Saccharomyces cerevisiae S288C: one gene and its partner. The protein of the gene in region 1 interacts with the protein of each later gene in a pairwise test. Each region holds a gene or a part of one and is shown on either strand. Other genes may lie near its edges.

Region 1 (3,333 bases):
AAGAAACCTTGGAAAGTTTGCACGGAAAAGTCAGTATATTGAATTCTAAGATCGTGGATATCAGGAGAGAGCAACAACTGATGAGAGAACGTGAAGAATCCTTTAGAGACATATCAGAGTCTGTGAATTCTCGCGCAATGTGGTGGACGGTAACTCAAGTTACTCTTCTCATTATAATTTGTGTATGGCAAATGAAAAGTTTACGCTCGTTTTTTGTTAAGCAGAAAGTATTATGACCGTACATATCAAAAAATTGAATCCTTAGCAGGCATACATGAGAATTTCGTTGTTTCAATGATTTATTTCTATTTATTTACATGCATTACCCCGACGCTTCATAGTGTAGTCATTAAATGAGTGTATACATATATATACTAACCTAGTCATCAAGATGTTTTAGGTGTTTCAATTCTTATTATTCATCTATAAAGACAGAATAAATATATACGGTGCGTATCAGATATGCTATTTCAACATACTATCTTTCGATAATCGGATCAAAAAGCTCCTAACGATTGCCATTACAAACCTTCGTCCATCCAGGCCAACGTTTTGTTAATTCCTTCTTCAATACCAACTCTTGGTGTGTAGCCTAGCAACTTTTTGGCCTTAGCAATGTTGTGATAACGGTATGCACACACAATCTTGACTCTGAATGGAGTCAAACCTGGCTCTTTACCCAGCATCTTGGATACCCATTCTGAAAGATAACCTGCACAAATTGCAACTGGCCTTTTCAAAACAATAACATGTTTATCAATATGACCATCTGCCTTCCACACAGTACGGGCCAAGGCCCAAAAATAGGTGGGGGTATCATTGGTAATGAAAAAAGTTTCACCCGAGACAGCAGTTCTTGTTTTTGGATCGAGAAGTTTCTGTGCAGCTAACACATGCGCGTCAGCAACATTTCCAGCATAAGTCCAATCAAATAGATTGTTATTATCACCAATTTGGAACTTCGACTGCCCCAATTTCGCAACCTGTCTTAGACCAGGTACTAATTGCCTATCACCTGGGCCAAAAATACCAGCTGGACGAAGAGCAACAGTATAGAAATCACTGCTTGGATCATTCGCCTTCAAGACCATATCTTCGGCGATAGCTTTAGTCTCATTGTACGCATCCATAGGAACTTCTGGGATTGGCCAGGTTTCGTCTGCATTGTGCACATCTTGCCCATTAAAAATAACACCAGCAGAGGAAGTATATACAAGTATATTAACGCCACATTTCTTGCACATATCTATCACGTTACGGGTTCCCTTAACATTCACTATGTCATAAATATCTGGATTTTGACCATGCATTGGAGAAGCACAATGAACAACAACATTTGCTTTACTTTCGTTAATTGCGTTTTCCATATCATCAGGTGATGTTAAATCACCCTTATGAAATTTTATGTCGTCTACATTAAAAGTAAACTGTTTTGAAAGTTTTTCAGGGAGATCTCTAACATCAAAAATGTGGATGTCTGGCTTAGGATTAATATCAAAAAATTGCTGAATTAAGTGCAATCCAAGAAAACCAGAACCACCGATAATTAAAACTGAATCTATCTTTGACATATTTATTTTTGTTTGCCCTTCCAGGTAGAGTTGCAAATAAAATTGGACAAAATTGACAATCTATATTGTTGTCTATTCTATTTTATAGCTGCAGCATAATCTTTTCCTTGCAGGCTTATATGAGATTTTTAAACGATACCATTTCTCGAGAGAACAATAAACGATCTATAGGGACTATCGGACCGAGAAATATAAAATCCACAAACACCGACAATAAAATAGCCTCTAAAAAAAAAAAAAGGTCCTGGAGAAAGCAATATTCATACCGCATTAACTTTCATTGAACCGAAGATCTACAAATATCCTTTCCTTGCATTATAATTATCCAATACTTTGTCGTCAATATTCTTTCAAAGAAAGAAAAAATATGAAATCAAAATTAAACATTTTTCTGTAATTTCCGTAATACAAAAAACTATTTTCTTTTCGGAAGGCAAAAACAAAAATTATAATAAAAATAAAAATATGTATAATATAATTTTTATCTTCTAACTTTTTATTTATTGAATTTTTATATAGTAAATATAACACGTGATATATTTGAAATGTGATTATATTATATATATTGATGTTTACATATTTTTTATGTAGTACAATTAATTTTCAAATTTATCGAAGCTCTTAAAAAGCTCAAGAAGCAAATTTCCATGAACTACATTCAAAATTTGCGTAGCACCTAAATTCGTTACTCAAACCATTAGAATGTTCAGGAAGAAAAGTTGTTATTCTTGTGTCAGAATAAACTTTGGATATGACTTCAGACATTCTTTCACCAGTACAACTTATGAGGCGGTGCTTAAAAACTCCTTTCTTAGTTTTAGAGTTGTCATTTGGCGCTAATAAACACTTTGCAGTGATAGAGGCTATTTTATATCAATGAATAACAGTTAGTAAGATGAAAAGATACTGGAAAAAAGATTAAAAAATGAGTAGGGATATGTTTATGATATACATACACTTTGTTTGACAATCTTCATTTAAAAAAGGTGGGTCAATTAACAATCTATCAACTTTTCCTTTAATTTCATCACTGAAGTCCAGTGGTTTATTGTAATCATAAAAAAAGAAATGATCTCTTCCAGCTAACAACTCGAATCTCTTATCAAATTCGAACAAGTAGATATGTTCGGTTGGAATTTCATTAGTAGGTTTCTTTTGAATGGCAGCATAGACGGATGGCGCACTAACTATTGCAATTACAGTGTTTTCGTCCGCACCTTCCAATATGGCATCTGCTAAAATTGCGGCTGTGTCATCGCTGTACCAAAACTGGGAAAGCTGCCAATCTTCCTTGAAAAGCTTCATCCCTTCTTCTTTTTTTTTCTTTTGGAAGTCTTCATCCGTTTCGTCGTAAAGCTTTTGAAAGGCTTCTTGATGTTGTTGTTCCTCTCTTTTGAATTCTTCAAGGGCAGCGAGGGCATTAGCAGAAAGTGTCCTATTAAGTTTCGTGTTAGTTAGTAATTCTACGTTACTGTGTTGAAAATATCCTGTACTTACAATTCATAATCGGAGTCGGAGTCGGAGTCGGACATTTTATCAGTGATTCTTTCGGTTTCATTAAGATGTAAAGTGACTGATTAGTATATTAGTCAAGATTAATATTTTTTTTTTTAGTTCCTCCAGTTCAAAAAAATTTTGTTAGATTTAACCGGCATAAGGTTCAGCGATACAGACGAAAAAAGAAGCCTCTAAATGAATGGGAAATTATATATACATGTATATTATGCAGTTGATATTCTATGAGATGACAATACTAAACTAT
Region 2 (3,769 bases), on another chromosome or scaffold:
GGTAAATTAACGAGTTTGTCCACTGTTTCCTCTGATGGGAAGAGCAAAATTGAGTTAACCCAGGTGAGTAGCATCACCGGTGACTCCAACGTATCTCAAAGGAAGGGCAAGCCGATTTGCTACTTTGACTTACAGTTGTCGATGAACGTCAAAGTGACAAATTTGGATACTAATAAGGACGACGAGGATGATGACGGCATACTTGCGGACGGGAAACTAGAAATTCCAGAGTTTATGCATGACGAGTCTGATATTCCGATTTTGTCGCAAGGGTTTGATGCTTTTGATGGATTGGTTAGGTCTGAATTTGTCCCTAAAGTAGTGGAAACGCTACTAAAATACCAAGATGACTTGATTAAAGAACACTCAAAGGATATACAAGTTTGATGTGTTCATGTAACGAAAAGGGGAGCGTTGCATAGATAGACCACCGCCCCTTTTAATTTTTCCAGCGTTTTCAATTGTTATTCTTCTTCTTCCTCATACTCACCCAATACATAACATGTATACACACATACATAGATAATGAAGAAAATAGCAGTGGTAGAAAAACTTAATAAACATATGGAATGATCTTGTAAGGAACTTTTCTTTCGTATTCTTCCCAATTTTCGCCATATTTCAGGCGGCACTTGTGCTCATCACGTTGTTGACGGTGTAATAACAACGTGGCGAAGTACAACGAGTAGTAATATGTCAAGGGAGTTTGGAACCAGGTGGCCAAACACCAACTTAATGAAATCAGCCAATCGCCAAAGTAATTGATATGCTGTGATTTAGCCCACCACCCGTCACATAATAACTTTGTACCACGCTTTGTCTGAATACTTTTTAGATTTTCTAATTTACCTTGTCTAAACTCAGATTTTTGCTTATTTGCCGAGTGGAAGATGTGGAAACCCAAAAACATTATGGCTAATATACCGACAACTTTCACCCATCCCAATTCCACAGGGGAAACACTCAAGTAACGCGCTTGTAATGAGTAGGTGAATGGAACTAAACTTAAGTCACCAAACGCTAGCATGAAACCAAACCCATCTGTAGTGATATCCATCATGGTTAATACACCTTCCTCGTTTAGTACTCCATCGAAAATGTAAAATCCTTGCAAGAAATTAACCAAGACCAATGCATCGTTGATTTTACCAGTCTTCAGGTAATGGTGATGCAGACAGGAAAGATTGATCAGTAACCATAACAACATGCCGGGTCTCAACTCTGAAAACATCTTGATATCTAATGGGCCGAGACGAGGGTTCAGTTCTCTACCAATAAACCAATCGTAAATGATGTTTCCTGAATTTCCACCTAGTGCTAAGATCTTTTCCCTTTTGCCATTACCATTTTTCTTGAAGATCAATGGTATGAAGCTGGCAACATAGCAGTACGTCGCCAAAAAGAACGAAAACAAAATAGATATTATGCATAAACTAACGTGATTTTCATACAGATATTGCAATTCAGGCAATTGTCCATCAGTCAATTTCCATCTGATAGCCAAAACTAAGACCAAAGTTGTAGACATGGCAATTCCATTGATCTTATACGAAAGCTTCGAACCATCCCTTAACTGAACACCCTTCATGACTCTGCCCGGTAAAATGACGTCCAAAACTGCCAGTATTCCATACCACAGGCAATAGACAGTCCATAATTCACGATTGCCCAGATAGTAGCGCAATGGCTTGATACCGTTCCAAAGCTCAACTATATCGAAATTCTGGAAAAATCCCTTAATAAAATAATCGGGCCTTATCATTTGATTCAAGATGATAGTGAAAACAGGCAGCCCTATGCTGATGCCTAAGGCACCAATCAGCCCACCAAATTCAAACTCTGTAGTTCTGGGATTCAAAGCTGATACCATCCTTTTATTCTCTACACCGAATTTGTCTTTACTCCTATGCTGTTTACAAGGTCTATCTGATAAGCAATTGCGCAAGAAAATAGTAGAATGAAAACTGATTATTAAAAACAAACGTAAACTCAAGCCTCACTTGATGCTCAGACGGAGTACGTGAAAAACGTCCGTTATGCAAAACCCTTTATATGCACAACCTTCACACAATGCAAATTTCCGATGATGCCTACATACAAAAGAGCGAAAGGCGATATAAATTTTTTTCACGGGATTTTCGTTTAGGTGAAAATAAAATGAACGACAGAGCATGCAGAGTCCGGGTAATACATATGTTTCAATACTGTTTCAATACTGTTTCAGAAGTGCGTCACATATTAATTTTAACTTATAACTGGCCTGTTGCTGGCAAGAGGTATATATATATGACGAATGTGACCAACATAAGTCCTTAAGATAATCCCGAAATATTTGGTTAGGATGATTCCCTTTCGAATTTGTGAACGTTGATGATATGAGCGGTTTTAAATGCTATTTGCAATTGGGTGACAGGCTCTCTCAAATATGGCTAAATAAGTATACTTTGGTTTTGCTGCTAGCAATGCTGAAGCTTCTGTTTTTCTCCAAATCCATACAACATGCGATAGAAGTCTCGGAAACGTATATTTTGTCCAATTGTTACAGTATTGATTCACTATACTCCAAGATGACAGACAACACGCCGCACTATTTAGGTATCATGGGGAATTATCTTATCGAGAAGGGTATGGAGGAGACTGTTAAAGCTACGCTAGAGACGTTATCACTTATAGTATATGCGAGCGAGGGGCTGGTAAACTTTGCCATTGACCTGTATTTGGGCACTTATGCCTGTTTGATTGTTAGTGCCGTTGATGGTACCGTGGACGTTGCTACTAACATTACAGAAAAACTGATTAGCTTAGTCAATGATACAGTTTCAAGTGTGGCTAATGAATTGGATACGGGCTTGAATGACATCTCCAAAATAATCAATAAAGTGATCAAGGCCGCATCCAAAGTAGAGAATTTTTTCACAGGTGATGACGATGACAGTAACATGACGTCGTCAATCAAAAGCGTCAACTTAACCATATCTGCGCTTCACAATTTATACATTCCTTCCTCAATCAACGATAAGCTTGAAGAGTTATCGGCAAAGACGCCGGACTTTGCCCAGGTTAAGAATACAACCAAGAACCTGATCTCGGTTCCCTTCAATGAAGTTCGGAAGAATATCAAGGCCGTGAATGCCAGCAATATAATCGGAGATACCTCCGTTTTGTACGTACCTCCCGTGTCCCTTGACAACAGTACTGGGATTTGCTCATCCAATCAATCAGAAATTTTGGCCTTTTATTCCATCTTGGGACATGTCCTGAAAATAGCCACCGTAGTGTGCATTACCGTATTGATATGCTTCGCTGTTGGTGCGATGGCGCCCGTTGCATGGAATGAAATCAAGCTCTGGAGGCGCCTTTGCGGAATGAGAGACCATTACATGCTGAGCAGGCAAGATTCGTATACGTCCTTTTCCAGTGAAAACACGCACGAATTGAAAGATCCATTTAGAGATCCTCCTATACAAAATGGCCAATATGATGTCATTGCAAGCTATCAGCAGTGCTTTCAAACATGGAACACAAGAATAGCAGGCTGGATGACAAATCTTGTTACCTTTGGAAAATCACCAGAGAACATTGACCCAAAGACTAAACAAAAAATAGAATGGGTAGTGGCTTATATGACCTCCGAAAGAGCACTGTGTGTTCTTGGAATTGGACTTTTGGGAATTTTAGTGTGCATATGCCAATTTGTCATGATAGCACTGTTAAAACACAAGATAAGCCATTCATTGACTTCTAATGATGGTGACGGCGTTCAAAATTT

Evidence for each region. The genes of interacting proteins can lie anywhere in the genome.
Region 2: the proteins of ERG26 (region 1) and ERG24 interact in binary tests that used the Saccharomyces cerevisiae proteins (3 or more experiments, as listed by UniProt).

The regions. Positions count from the first base shown.
Region 1 is NC_001139.9:494,932-498,264, forward strand, and holds ERG26 (sterol-4-alpha-carboxylate 3-dehydrogenase (decarboxylating)), read right to left. Parts: upstream 1,572-3,333; coding exon 522-1,571; downstream 1-521. Other genes in the region: ERP6 (Erp6p), read left to right, coding at 1-236; EFM5 (protein-lysine N-methyltransferase), read right to left, coding at 2,202-2,434, 2,528-3,006, 3,069-3,103. UniProt on the Saccharomyces cerevisiae protein: Sterol-4-alpha-carboxylate 3-dehydrogenase; part of the third module of ergosterol biosynthesis pathway that includes the late steps of the pathway.
Region 2 is NC_001146.8:108,542-112,310, forward strand, and holds ERG24 (delta(14)-sterol reductase), read right to left. Parts: upstream 1,871-3,769; coding exon 554-1,870; downstream 1-553. Other genes in the region: HCH1 (Hch1p), read left to right, coding at 1-387; pheromone-regulated protein PRM1, read left to right, coding at 2,376-3,769. UniProt on the Saccharomyces cerevisiae protein: Delta(14)-sterol reductase; part of the third module of ergosterol biosynthesis pathway that includes the late steps of the pathway. ERG24 reduces the C14=C15 double bond of 4,4-dimethyl-cholesta-8,14,24-trienol to produce 4,4-dimethyl-cholesta-8,24-dienol.